Linked DNA regions of Lepisosteus oculatus. The protein of the gene in region 2 interacts with the protein of the main gene of each other region in a pairwise test. Links are inferred from orthologs where the notes say so. Each region holds a gene or a part of one and is shown on either strand. Other genes may lie near its edges.

What was found. The genes of interacting proteins can lie anywhere in the genome.
Region 1: the proteins of hoxa1a (region 2) and ccn3 interact in binary tests that used the Homo sapiens proteins (3 or more experiments, as listed by UniProt). The link is inferred for Lepisosteus oculatus from reciprocal best matches to the Homo sapiens genes HOXA1 and CCN3.

The regions. Positions count from the first base shown.
Region 1 is NC_090705.1:11,431,384-11,439,007, forward strand, and holds the start of ccn3 (CCN family member 3), read right to left. Parts: upstream 3,020-7,624; 5' UTR 2,932-3,019; coding exon 2,866-2,931; intron 2,722-2,865; coding exon 2,493-2,721; intron 1,534-2,492; coding exon 1,282-1,533; intron 385-1,281; coding exon 170-384; intron 1-169. UniProt on the Homo sapiens protein: Immediate-early protein playing a role in various cellular processes including proliferation, adhesion, migration, differentiation and survival. Acts by binding to integrins or membrane receptors such as NOTCH1.
Region 2 is NC_090705.1:602,697-610,367, reverse strand, and holds hoxa1a (homeobox protein Hox-A1a), read right to left. Parts: upstream 2,833-7,671; 5' UTR 2,727-2,832; coding exon 2,120-2,726; intron 1,795-2,119; coding exon 1,436-1,794; 3' UTR 504-1,435; downstream 1-503. Other genes in the region: hoxa2b (homeobox protein Hox-A2b), read right to left, coding at 7,003-7,671. UniProt on the Homo sapiens protein: Sequence-specific transcription factor. Regulates multiple developmental processes including brainstem, inner and outer ear, abducens nerve and cardiovascular development and morphogenesis as well as cognition and behavior.

The sequences.
Region 1 (7,624 bases), about 11 Mb from region 2:
CTGTAGTTCAGTATATACGAGCTTCAGAGCGGAAAGACTAATTCATCGTATTGCGAAAAATTAACGACATGGAGCTTGTGCATCAAAGTTAAAGGGCTTTTTCATGCTGAATTAAGATGCAGTACCATCACTTTTTACACCAGTATAACGCAGGACTGACAAGTGATACCTTGGCGGCATCACTTCGCTCCTGTTCGCCGCAGGGTCTGACGAGACAGAGGCGGCTCTGCTTCACCATCTCGCAGCGTCGGTTCCGATTCGTGACCCGCGTTGAGACACCCATCCCGCAGGTCCGCGAGCAGGCCCCCCACTCTGTGGTCTGCTCGATGCAGTTGAGACCGGGGTCTAAGATGTCAATTCCAGCCGTTCCCTCCTGCCTGTAAGCTAAAGTTACATTTAAAGCAAAGAAAAATGGTTAAAAATGTCCTTGTTTAATCTATATAAAAACAGGTTCAGTTGCTAGACGTTGCTTGTATGTCACCTGCTTCTTTTTATGCTTTGGATAATGGTTAGGATGTTAGGGAAAACCCCTTTCTAACCTAAAGATGAAAACGTCTCTTTTTCCAATTAAAACTGTGGTTTGTGATCCTACAGTTTCAGGTATTGCTGGCAGTAGACACAGTTCATCTGTATTTATATAGAGTTTTTCAAAGCTTTTTCACTCAATTAAAATTTGCCGAAAGTTGATATATAAAGTATAAACATGCTAATCAAACTCGAGGCACTACAGGTAATGTTTTTCACTTCAACACGGTGGTCGAGTTTTAGGTGGGTTTTATCAACAGTGCTTGGAAAGTTGTCTCATTAGTGTATTTCTTGAGGTACTGTATCTGTCGCAAAGGGGAGTAGGTCTGACAGCCCAAAGTGAGGTTTTTATTTTAGCTTTTTGGAGCTGCTGGAACAGACCTTTTGGGAAATAGTTGAAGCAGTACTCTAAATAGTAATGAAGAGTTCTCCATGTCAGACTTTAGCGACACTGCCACAAATCAGACAGGGCCTTAGAGCCAAACACTGATTTTCATCAAGAAAGCTTTAAAGAGTGAAAGTGTCCACATATAAACAAACAAATGAAAACCATAAAGGAAAAAAAGCATCGAAAAAAATACTTATTTCAAATCGGACCACTGCAGTATGAGAGCTCGCTAGATTTGCAGTATGGCCCCATGACCTTTGGCTGCCCTGTAGTTATCTCTCATCTTGGTGCAGAGTAGCCGCAGCTGTTGATTTAAAGCGGTTACCACTGGGGTGTCTATCGGTTGGTCGGTCGAAGCCATTCCTCACCCGCCATCGCCAAGCCCCCCAGCGAGGTGTGTGCCCTGGAGTCGCACACCCAGGTCTCGCAGCACTCTCCTGGCAGCCGCGCTCTCCGGGGGAAGGGGCAGGAGGGGCCCGGCAGCAGGACGTCCAGGTTACAGCGGGGGACGCAGCCGATCTCTCCGTCCCTGCAGGCGCACTGATACTGGCAGCTGGGGAAGAAGGTTTCCCCGTTTTGATAGACGGAGCCATCCAACACGCAGATGTCTCCTTCCCGGGCTGTAAACAAGGGGAGGGGGCAGCCGAGGAACGTATTTAAATACCGCGCGTTTTGTGGCAGCTCTGCGTTCAAGATTTATGAGGTTCCGGTTTAGAGAAAATGATAGAGCAGTGCAAAATGCTCAGTAGGGTGGGAATCTGCGACCTCTGCTCCAGCAACGGTTTTTTTTAATCTCGCAGAGACGCTAGGAGATGAGAAACTGAAGACAACATTTTTCTCTTTACATTTACAGGTATGGACTCATAATCTGACGTTTGTAAAAAAAAATAAACATACTTGAGAATAAACAAATATGCGTTTTAAACCACGATCCGATAAGAATACTATTCCTGGAATACTGAATTAAAATACAGATTTAAAACTTTGGGTTGACTATCTAATCCATCACTTTAAGTACCAAACTTTTTAATGTAAAGACCTTTAAGATCAGGGATAGAAACACTCATCGAAAACAATTACAAAGAAATCCAAATAAAAAAAATCACAGAAAGCAAAAATTTTGAAATACAAATTAGGTTTACTGCTGGCACTTTAAGAGGCCAATAAATCCTTAACAGGATTTTAACAACCATAACTCATCTAAAAAGTCTGTGAATGTCCATTTTTCGCTGTGGCATAATTTAATTGTGTAAAATAGAAACCTAACTACCATTGACCAATGGTAAATTTGTATTTCTGCATCAGAGGACGCCAGTGAACAGGTGTTTTTAATAACTAAATTTAGGTATCTGAGCGTCCAGGACATAATTTACTTTTCAATCTTAATGAATCAAGAGATTCAAAGAGTTACGCAGCACAGATTATTTTTCCCCCAAATTTTCCAGCGCATGCCTGTAGCTGTATTGTCCTATTTTTTAACGGATTTAGTTCTTGCTTTAAGGTGCAAACTGCATTCAAACATACACCTGAAAGACACCAACAATTACGAAAATTAAAAGATCACGAACTCTTTGCTCACCCACGCAAACACCGGTCTGCTCATTGACTCCTGCGGTATAATCGCAATGCAGGCCCTTACGGGTGTCGCAGGGGTATCTCTCTGAGCAACTTTCGCCTTTCTGGCGAGCGCAAACGAGGCAGCAAGCGCAGTCGTCCAGCACCAGCTGAATCCCAGGAGGGCACAGAGGTGCCTCTTCAGGACACCTGCACTGAGGTGAGCACGCATGGCCTGTCGCCAGGGAGCACAACTGTAATAATAATAATAATAATAATAATAATAATATCATCACTGGACTAGCAAAAATAAGAAGATGGGGTATCGATATTTTTCTAACCGAATTAGAAAAACAACAACATTAATGCTTTACAAAAAAATGATAAAAAAAACTCACCGTTGCAAAAGCGCTGAACAAGAACAGACGCATAGCTCCGTTTATATTTTGACTTTTTGTTTGCATTATCTTCTTTAGGTTTTCGCCCTCCCTGCTATTTTGAGTCTTCCAATTCCTTTATCCATGAAGTTAAATGTTCTGCTGAACTATTTATAAAGCCCTCTGGACATGCGTCGCGGTGATTGGGCAGGCTGTAGGGCGAAAGAAAACCAATGAATTAATGCAGGAAAACCGCTGTAGCTCTAGTTTGCCTTTCTCCGATTGGATGACTGATAACTCATATTGGCAACACACCTTCAAAAATGTTCGGCTTCCGACAGAGTAGCCAAACTGATGCTGTAGAGACAGTGTGCTAACATTTTCTTCAAAATGAGTACGGTTCGACGTTCCTGTGAAAAATGTCAATATGAAAACAACTGCATGAATAGATAAATCAATAGTTGTCTTAACATTAATCAAGATGTACTGAGATACATTCAAAACTCAACAAAATGAGTATTGGAAAATATTTTAATTCCTCTCGGTATATAAATCGCATTCATTCGAAATCCCAAGTTTGATTACCGTACACCAGAAACATTATTGTTAGTGCTCTCCTGCACGATATTATTGTCGGACAGCTTTCCTGGCAACAATTAAGTTAAGTATTTAAGTTTATTATTATTGAAAAAGAAGCAGCCGCGTTACTGTATAACTTCACAAGTGATGGTGGTCATTTTCAGTTCACATCGAAGTAATAAAAATGAGTGCTTCCTCTCTTCCCGTGACTGTAAATTATGAGACATCAGGAAACTCTAACGACCACTTAATTTTAAAAAAAGAATTTCATTAAACCGGATTTGCTGTTTCCAAACTCTTCATTTCACTTGGGATTAGTGTAAGAAAGATTGATTTTAAAAGAAAACAGACCATCATTTAATAACATTTACTGCTTTAATGCTTTTCTTTTTTGTGTGTCAAACGTGTTGAGCTGTTTTCTCCTGTAATTTTAAATGGATATCCCAGTTCGTGGTGAAGTGAATCAGATTTATAAATTACTTTTATTTCAAGGTGGAAATGCAAATAACATTATTCACATCTAGTTAAATAGTTTTACACTGGAAGCTGAAAAATGTCAGACTTAACAGTTCTGTGTTTGCCGCGTTTGTCTGAGTTACCCAGACTAGGATCCTGTACATTCAGTGTCAAGGTGCACATCATTAGAAGATAAATTCTGGCAGTGCCCATTCCTGGTTTGTAAAAAGCTACTATAATGTTATCAATATTAAAGCAGTGGAGGAGCAGAAATGGTTTGGTGTTGCCATGGATACTGCTACTCATTTTGAAGGTAATTTAAAATGTTGTAAAAATGTTTACTTTCTGTCTGTCCACAGGGACAGAAATCCTATCTGTTATCAATTTAGGATAAAGTATTAGATCTTATACAGGACAGGAAAATAAGTTTGAAGGGAACTTCAGAATTTGAGTTGTATTCCTGTTTCTAACCCACTAATTTCTGAAAGATCTACTTATAAAAGAGTTCTCCTTATTAAACTAAATTCAGTTTTTTTTTCCAAAAGGTTGTCTAATTGTTTTCACATTATTTTTCATATACCGTGCTTGTTTTTAATAGCTTACAGGTTTATCTGTGGTTTAAAAATGCAGAATGATGTAAATGTATGTTGTACTGTATATGCAAACTCACAATAGGAACTTTTTTTTGAAGAACAAGTTTGTTTAGAAATGGGGTCCATACAAGTTCCATGGGATTGTATGGTGAAAGATCTGAGAACAATTATACAAAATACAGTATGTCTTATTTGCTTCTTAGGATGAGTTTTTACATAGCTGTTATTTGTAGTCATTATGATGAGCAACCATAACTTGTAGGAAAATTGCCTAATGCATCATATAGTGACCAAGAAACTATTGATATATCTTATGTTTCTAACATAACATTAATTGAACTTCTCCAGCCCTGTTTTAAGTTGAATTACTGAAGACCAAATGGAAAAATCTACACACCTCCTACTTTTCCCACTTAAAAATCTCAAATTGCCATGAAATAGCTTACGATATTGCCAACAATAAATTGTGTAGAAAAAATTGCAGAAAAGTGAAATGTATTGAAGTCCATTATTTCTAGCAATGCTTGCCAAATGTAGGCTCACCATTATAAGATCATTTAGGGCTACAGAGACTAATTCAAGCTGAACATTATGATGAGAAAAAAAAAACTTCCATCACACTGCCTTAAGGCAGTAGCGAATAATGTAAAATTATTATGTTTTGCAAAGTGTATCTTTACAAAACTTCTAAAAAGGTGTCTTTGCAAAATGCACGACAAGAATTCTCATTGTTACACCATTAAATATTCCTTTAATAGACTTAATATTGTAATGCAACTAAGTTAATGTTCCTGTCTGTAACTTATTGTTTAGTTTTTAGACTTTTAACCTGAGAGAAAAGTTAGTATGACAAATTGTTTTTCTCTGCAGAGGCAACATTAGAGATTTTGTGTAAATAAAAAATATGTGAAAATGAAAAAAAAATGGTTTGCTAGTTACTGTAGGTGCTTCTTTCTCTTAAAAAATCTCTTCACCATATGTATGTATCATTATTGTATAGCCATGGTCTATGTACAGTATACTTTTTTCTGTAAGAATAACAATTTAGTTCTGTATCATGTGAATCATAAATCAGTACAATAGTCATTATTGGGCATACCATATACAGTAAGACCAGATTTCAAATTAAATTAAATTAAAATACTCTAAATAATTTTATCTAGCAGGCAGTAATAGGAATTAAGGAATCAGAATCCTAGTGTAATTTCTTGGACTAACTATTGTTTCAACATTTCAACTATCGATCTGCAGTGCTACAATTTGTTGTCACTGTTTGAACTTACAATCATGACACTGTCAAATATGATTTTATATTTAGAATCTGCAAAGTCTACTCCAAACTACTAAATTAAAATAAATCCTGATTGTAAATTAGTTATTGTAAGATTGTAAGATTCAGAATTTCTTAAGTATTCAACCCTTTTTCTGCAGAAACCATAAATCAGTTAAGGTGGAACAGATTAGTTTGAGAGCTGACAAAAGTAGTGTAATGGACTTTCTGTGTAATCAATGAGATTTAACTTGACTTCAGACTACAAGGATCTGTCTCTGTAAATTCCCTCAGGGACTGAATTTCAAGCCACAGCTCAAATATCACTGATGAAACAAACCAACTACAAATAGCAAGGATAACACGAACCCAAACTTTACTTGTTCTTTATTAATTTACTCATTGTTTTAACATTTTTTCCTAATTAATTAAAAATTGTAGCTATAGATCTCAGTTTAGCAAACATATTTATATTGTGAACGGTACTGTACATATTTATACTTTACATATTTGTACTTCTATATAACATTTTGATATCAAAGTCTGTAAGAGAAACACGTTTCTAAACCATAACAAACGTCAATAGAGCAGAGCAGAGTTGTGAAGCCTACCTACGCACATTAATGTAGCTTGTGAAATGTTTCTGTTGAATGCTACATGTCTCCACAGATAGCACAAACACTACAGGCACAATGAATAATGCATGATCAGACTGAAGTATTAGTATTGGGTTATGTTCAGGCTGTCTACATTGCTAACATTTTCTTCATAAGTTGATGGGATAAGGAAAATCTATCTCTGTATTGTATTTTTTTGACATACTGGTTTGCTAGTGGCACAAAGTAACAGAATTTAAACACAAATAACCAAAGAACGCAAGAAAAATAGCAGACAGGGTTGTGAATGCCAAATGAGATTAGCAGATCATCAGCGGCACTAAAAACCTGTTAATGGAACACACAAACAGAAACAAGGACATGCTGTAAGAATGTTTACCCATTTTCAAAATGAAAAATAAAATGTATGCAAACTTAAAAACAAATATTGATTCCACTTTATTTGTATTATTTTAAGAGCAGAACTAAGAGATTGATTTTACCCAGAAATGAATACTGAAAATACAGTATGTGAGAAAAGTGGAGTTATTTGTTACACATGTAAGAAAATGTAGAACTTGGCATGACAGAAAATTACTGATCCAAGCAATAACTCTATGAAGCATTTGTATTTTATTTAATATTATTTAATCAGATTATTACAAAATGAAGAACAATTAACAGAAACATACAAGGCATCATGTCATGTGTGCATCTTGTTCAATTTGTGAAGACAAAATGACAAAACAGTCATTAACACCATTTGTTAAGCTTTGGCATGATCTTAGATACCATGGCATGCAACAGAAAGGTCCAGTTAAAATGTACATTTTGTGTGTTGGGCAGTAAACTGGATAGAAAGTTTAGGCAGGGTGGTTGTAGATTGGCCTGCTGTTCAGGGACTAACCACTTCATCACATCTAGAATATGTGGTCACATCAATAGCTGCATTTTTCCTTGCTGCTGGAAAAAAAGTTAGACTTTGTTTAAAATCATTGCCATAATAATTACTGTAAATGATATATAATTATTATTCAGTTGGAAGCATTTGCTATAGTTCCATTTTTACAAATAAAATTATTCTCTAAATTGCTATATCAAATGCAACAAAATCTCGTTAACATCTGTTCACTGTATTCATTAATGCCACATGAATAATATTGCTAATGTTGCTAGTGTTGTTGCCAGAATATGTCATAAAGTAAGTAAGGAATGGAACATTTTGAGCCTGTACTCAAAAGCCCATTCATTTGTGTAATGCTGTCATGTTTAGAAAACTTCACAAA
Region 2 (7,671 bases):
TTTAATGGAATTGTAGAATGACTAAGATTATAATTAAGAAAATGCTCCTCTATAGTATTCGCGCACGGTCTGTAAAAATCTAGTGCAAACAGACTACACATGCTGCCATGCTGTAGCGTGCAAAAAAAAGGCTTCTTAGGATCCGGTCAAAAAGAAAATAAGTATTTTTCTCGGTTTTGTTTTCTCCGGCCTTTAAAGTTAAACATTATGGCCCCTTCGGTGTAGCACTGCAGGCAAACTCCATGAAAAGGCTCGTTCTGGAGACTGCGGTGTTGACTTTCATGTCAGTAGCTTCTGCGACGTCAGATGAAAGGGCCCGGAGACTGGAATTCGACTGGAATTCTTTCTCTCTGCCATACAAACTCCAAAGGGAAGCTGAAAAATATTCGTCATTTTGAGGCTAATGAGAGGCTAATGAGGAGAAAACTGTTTAGCAATAAAATGCGCAGGTATGTGCAGGTAGACTATACTACCTTTATATTAAAACGAACTAAGTTATGATCCCAAATTAACTCCTAACCCTGTTGTGGGAAAAAAAAGTCATTTCTGGTTTGTTTAGAAGCAGGATAGTTTTAATACATATCATACATAGACCCGTAAACTTTACTCGATTCAAATACATTACATGTGTTGTTATAGTTTCTTCGCTTGTACAGAAATATACTTTTACAACTGATAAAACTCAGTGTTAAGGGAGGTACATCAAAGCGCTGTGCATCATGCAGACGTCGTCACGAACACAGGTGTCAAATACAACTTGGTATTCCGAGGTATTTAAAGTGTGCGACTTCACAGGCTCGGGATGAGCCCACTTTGAACATTTCAATAGTAAAACGTTTCAGTGCAATTTCGTTTTATTTCACACAAATAAACACAATTTACAATAAAGTGAGCTTGTCTTCTTTATGAGGTATCTGTTTTTCATTATCGTTTTTTCCTGTATAAAATAAAAAAAATGTAAGATCGCTCCTAAGTTGTGTCTTTCTATACCCTTAACATCTTACCGTCGTTATGTAAAAAGAGATTCTAAAAAATGGATTAAATACACATATTATAACTGCATCAAAGTAATTACATAATTGCAAATCATAAGCTGAAGAGTTTAGGCAAGATCACCCGACTGCAAACTCTCTGCATTTAGTGCATTTCTCTAGATTTGTCATCATCACCTGAAATTATGGGGAAGTTACACATGTGGTTGAAAACAGCTTGCTGACTGCAGTATGTACTGTGTCATCTGTCTTGTGTTTTAATACATATTGTTGTCATTGAAATTCCGATCATCTAAATCCCAGCACTTACTTGCTCTATATCACTAAAACAACATGATAAAATGCGGACAATGCAATCTGCCACATTCCTCCGATGAGTATGACTGGAGCTCAGAGGTGCAGCCGCATGACAGGCTGGTCTGTCAGCGCGCTGCTCAGGAGCTTCAGCTGGAGGGACACGTCTCCGCGGTGGACGCTGAGGATGAGGCTGGAGAAGGTGTCGAAGGGGCGGAAAGGGATCTTTCCGACGCGTCTTCTCTTTCTTCGCTTTCTGCTGCTGCCGACGGAGAACTCGGCAACAGACCTTCTTTCTCGCGTTTCTTTTGCTTCATCCTCCGGTTCTGGAACCAGATTTTCACCTGAGTCTCGTTGAGCTGCAGAGCTGCTGCGATCTCCACCCGCCTGGCTCGCGTGAGGTACTTGTTGAAATGAAACTCCTTCTCCAGCTCCGTCAGCTGCTTGGTGGTGAAGTTCGTTCTCACCGTGTTGGGCTGGCCGGCGAAACCGTATTCTCCAACTTTCCCTGGAAACCAAAAAAAGTGCAGAGGATGTCAGCCTGAGCATCGACATTCGTGTGAGAGAACATCACAGAGGATGTGCGCTTAATGACAAAACCGGGCGAACAGGTGGAAAACACTTTGAGGTCGACTTCCACAGGCTGGGTATAGAATAGGTGCTCCTTGAGGAAACGCACAAGGGTTACAGAATCTCGTCACATGTGCTTTTTGCATGACAACAGTACAACACAACTAAACGATACAGAAATAAACTGTTGAATTCAGTTTTCCTTAAGCGTCGCAGAAAGACACATCAACGGTCAGAAAGGTGCGCAACAGCGTGACACTCACCGGTCTTGGGCGGATTTCTTTTGACTTTCATCCAGTCAAAGGTCTGTGCTTGGGGCGATGTCTCGGCCAGAGGAGAGCAGCAGGGGTCGTGGTGAGAGGCGTGGAGAGGAGACAGGGGGTTCGTGTAGCCGGGAAGGGGCAGGTTCGCCTGCTCGTGGCCGTAAGCGCCGTGCGTGTACGGAAGTACCCCCACCGACGCTCCGGTGTAGCCCTGGTGGTGCTGCACCATGGAAGCCGAAATGTTCCCCGAGTAAACTGCTGGGGCGCACTGAGGGTACCCCGCGCTAGACTCCACGTCTTGGTTCAGTGGGTAATGATTGTAACTCGCACAGAAGCCCTGTGTGGCATACCCCGCGCCACAGCTGGGGTGACTGGGGTAGGTGAGGCTCAGGCTGCTGTGAGGCTGGTAGGCGGCCGGCTGGTGAGGGTGGTGAGGAATGCCCCCTGGCGAGCCCCTGCCCACGCCAAAGCGATCGTCAGCGCCGCAGGTATTAGTTGTGACAGAGCACGACGGGAAAGTTGTAATCCCATGGTCTGGGTGAAAAGCCCTGGAGGAGCAGGATGCGGTTTCTCCGCTGATCACAGGGTAATCTAAGAAGGAGCTCATTGTAGCATTGTCTACCTGTCACGACTGGTCAGGTCTGAAGCGATGACCGTGCTCCAGCCCGGGTGACCGTGCCAACTTGCCCAGTTCGTCCATCGGGCCAGCACAGACCGATATGAATGAGGAGCGGGGGTCACGTGACTCGTGTCCGCCAGTGGCTGCACAGCGGTGCTGAGATAGCCTTCTGCTGGCGGTGATAGATCACCGGTTTACAGACATTTAAATTCTCCACGCTCCTCTATCAAGGTGACGCACACCAGCCCGTAATGTATTGCTAGTTCAAACAATGGGCGAGACAGAGTGCAGCGGAAATCGTTCAGGACACTTCTCGAGACAATAAACAGCCCATGTTCCTGATGGATAACGTTTCTTCTTTTCTCGCTTTTCCATCCCGAAAGCACAGCTGTTTCAGCATCACTTAAGCACAAGGTAAGAAAAGCGCCATCTCTGGTTGTGAAATGTTTTCTGTTTAACTGAACGTATTATTGTAGTCAACATCAAGTCTAAGATTAAATATGTCTTTGGGGCACATTTATAAAGTGGGATTTGGAATTTAGCATGTATTTCACGTTTGCCTTCTGAGTGTTGTAGTGTGAAAAGACAAGGTGAGCTCGATTCAACATTTAGCTGGGGGTCGATGCTTGGATTGAAGTTGCTGCTCGTCAGCATTCGAGAGCCGGCAGACAGGTCGCATCCTATCAGGTGTCTGTGTGTGTTCACAGCTGTCGGCATGGAGATGAGAGCCTTCTGTAACCAAAGTCAGCGATGCTATCAGAGCGCTCTGAGCTCCGCGCATCACCTTCTCCGGCGGCTGGAGGTGAACACAGGCTGGACTACAGTCTAAACCGACACGTCTTTCATTCTACGATATAGGTCTTGGTTTCCCAAGCCTAGCCCCGGAGGCTCGCAGTCCTGCTGGCTTTCATCGCAGCACAGCCGTCAATGGTCTAATTTAGCTACTTATTGGCTTCGATGGAAGAGTTGAGCAGATTTTCTCAAGTCTGGAGGTGCCGCTGATCTCAGGAGACCTAGAAAACCTTCAGGATCGCGCCCCTTCAGGACCGGCCTGGGAAACCCCTGAAATGGGCGGAGCCTGAGAGGGGAGCTGTGACGCGGTTCATCTGCTCATATCCGCTGGGTCTGTAGAGACGAGCCAACTTTGAGAGACCAACCATTCAACTCTACAAATAAGACTTTATCCCGCCTGGTGTGCGGTTTCCCTCACAATATAGCTGACGTGACTCTCTTCATTCGTTTTTTTTTTAGCACAGCTTCCGAAACCGTTCCTCTAAATACTTAATGCTTTTTAGGACGTAATTTCTCTTAATTCGATAAAAAGTTGTAAAGGGGCTATGTCGGTCAGACAAAACCATCTAAACTGGCATACAAATGTCTAAATGGCACGAGCAACAGCTGAAGAAGAGTAATATCGAAACATGCCACCCCACAGAAGGTTTCCTATAATAGCGTAGTGGTTCCAGAATGGAATATTTTAGCCATTCACCCCTAAACTTGTTTGTGCGTCAGCATGATTAAACGTATCCATCGATTAATCGATAACGAAATTACCCGGCGTTAATTTAGTTATCCTACAATGCACATTTATTCTATTGCTGTTATCATATACCCAATATGTATATTTAGGCTTTCCCGATTACGTGGTGTTTTGTCCACCGGCCCTGTTTCCACTGCGACCTTACACAAGGCGAGACTCCGTGGTCAGCGCTGTGCAATAAGATGGCGATCTCGCTTGAATCCAGGGATTCAGGAAAGGTGGCTCTTTCACAACGCCCAGCTCTGTCTGCAGTAACTACACATTTAAGCTTTCAAATATTGCCAGATGAACGTATGTCGTTTAGTACGTGTGCACAATCTGCACTGTTTTGTGTTTTTTTTCACATACAAAAAAATAGTATACCTTATAAGATAGAACGCACAAAATGGAAAGGCATGTAAACTTACCATCACAATAAAAAAAACCCAGAAATACATTAACAGGCCTGTCCAGCTCTGTGAAGTTTCCACATCGCCCACGTCTTTAAAATGCGAATTGTTGACAGCCGGAGTTGCGAAAGAAAGGAGGTATTGTTTCAGGGGCACTCTGATACAATTCCTTTCAAAACCGTCGATTCGCCAGCGTGGGAGATAGTCCCGAAAAAGTCTTCATTCTTTAAAGGTTTCTAGATGTTTGTGTCCAGAGAAAATTTGCTTTATGGCAACATATAATTGGCAAAATGTCACGTTATTGCCTATGTGGTTTACAGTTTAATAGATTTAATAATGTTCGATCGATTCCAAATTAGAGGAAAATATCATCGTAATAACAAATTACAATCTCTGGATGAGGCATAGAATGTGGATAATAAAGAAGAATAATTTTATTGACTAAATAGAAAGGCTCACTATAGACACCCTTTTAGGAAAAACTATATAAAAATAATCTTAAATATACATATATTTTGGTGCATAAGACAAACTACGTTTATGTCGATTTGAAGTCCATTGTTAAATGTGAACATAAACTTTTAACTAAACAAATCGAAGAATATTATATATATTTTAAAAGTGCACTTAAAGAGATTGTAACACCCGCTCTGAGTTGAGCAGAGAGCATCTCGGTGCATCGGCGGCCGTTCTCAGGCCGCTCTGCTGGTTTAAATGGCAATAAAAATGAATTACTGCCGAACGCCTACAAAGTTAATGCTTTTGGCTGGGAATCCCCAGTCCCTCCAAATACGTAAGAGGTTTTTATTTGTGCATGTGCTCCTGCAATTGATCTCTTTGATGACATTCTCATTCATAAAAGAGAGTTTGATTTATGAGTTTGGGAAGAATTTCATCCAGGCCTTCCAGCCACTTCTTACGCAATTCCATCACGTTTTGCAGAGTAATACAAACTAAGCCAGGGCGCTTTCTGAGAAGCCGGGCTCTAGTCTGCATAAAGCCGCTTTTTGCACAAACTCCAGCAATACGAAGTTTGATTTCCACAGATACCAAGTGTAAGCCGTAACAATAACTCTGTGCCTGTCTTTTAAAAGGACGAAGGCTGTAAACTACAGAAGGCTACGATACAGTGCGTTTTAACTTAAACAATATTAAGATTATTCAATGTTTTATTTTAAAGTGCAAAATTACCTATGCCTGTCCAAGAGTTTTCTATTTCCGACTATGCACCGAATGCAGCATCCCGAAAGATTCCTATATGAAACTATATTTAATTCATTTAGACATTTCCCCGCTGGAAGCTCTTTCTAGTTGTTCGTGTTCAGCTACTGCCTGAGCTCACCCGGCAGAATCCCATTCCACCACGTCCTGCGAGATTGAAACTCGGTGAAACGGTCTTTTGCACTAACTGCGCTTTTAAAGTTTTTGTTGTTATGAAAGAAAAAGAACATGCCTGTAAAACTTTGAAATTGCTGTTTGTTTTAGTAAATACTTTTTATCTTATTTTAGGTTCGGGAACGAAGAATAGTTTTGGGTTTCAAGAGAGAGACACAATGGAAAACATTATATTATTATTATTATTATTATTATTATTATTATTATTATTATTATTATTATTATTATTATTATTGGTGATGGTAATAATAAGTAGTTTTAGGAATTACACCCAAATATTATCCTGTACAGATTATACAAATTATATTTTTGAAAACGAATTTGAAAATTTGACTCATAAATTTAATTTTAAAAAGTTAATTGCTGATACATTTAAATGTATACTTTACTGTTATTTTTCTAAAATACGTTTAACATTGTACCTTTCTTTATGTTCATTTTTGATTTGTTGTGGAATAATAAAATATTCTGACCTTCCATTTTGTTCAATCTCGTGTTGTTTGAGAGGCGGGTAATATAAAAATACATTTTAATTTTCATTTGGACCTGGAAATAATGCAGTGACACAATTATTGAAAGCTACCTGTAGCAAGTAAAATTTATTCTAACAAAATATTCATGACAATGTACCCGAAAGCGATACAAAAATAAAAGAACAGAGACTAAATTCTATTTTTTTTTACAGAACCAATGTATTGCTTTTGGAGAATTAATGTTTAAATGGTTAATTGTAATTATTGCCAGACTAAACTTTTACAAAAATTAGAGCGTGGACTTTTATCTTCTGTACTGAATTAACTAATTCATTCATTAATAAACAAAATGTACTGACCATATCAAAGAAAGAAATAAACAAATCAACTTAGAATAAAGGAGAAGGCATAGTTTTTTTTTTCTTTTTGCAATGAAGAGTCGCTAGACCGGATTTTCCCCCCCCCATTTAATAGCTGAGATGCTGCAAGTCGATTGTTGTGAGAGTGTCCGAGAAAAAATCAAAACTGTCGGCAGAAATGTCTACAGGGCTGTCGAGAGACTCTGGCAAACTAGGGGAAACGGCATCTGAAAGGTGCAGGCAGGAATCTGAAGAGAAAACGTTAAAATCCTGTAAAGAGGACACGTCCAGGGCCTCGGGGCTGTCATTGTGGAGGCCAGCTGTGCAGTCATGGGCCATTGTTGACAGGCAGTTCTGAACAGTGGGTGACGGGCTCTGAAAATGTTTCAGATTTTTGTCATTGCTGCTTAAAGGCGACACAGTAAAACTTTGGGAATCTCCATTGTGCGCGTTCGGAGCCTGTTGTGGAGTCAGAGAATTTTGTTGAAAAGCGTAGCCCTCCCTTTCCAAGAGGGCTCCTGAGACATTGTTGAGGGCTTGCTCGAAAAGCGACTTCTCCTCCTCGCTCTGCCCGCCGTCCTCCGGGTTCCTGAGCTTCCCCTCGCCGTTGTGATTCTCTTTGCACTGGGTTTGCCTTTTGTGCTTCATTCGCCTGTTCTGAAACCACACTTTGACTTGCCTCTCAGTCAGATCTAGCAAAGCCGCTATCTCCACCCTTCTCGGTCGGCACAGATACTTGTTGAAATGAAATTCCTTCTCCAGCTCCAGGAGTTGGGT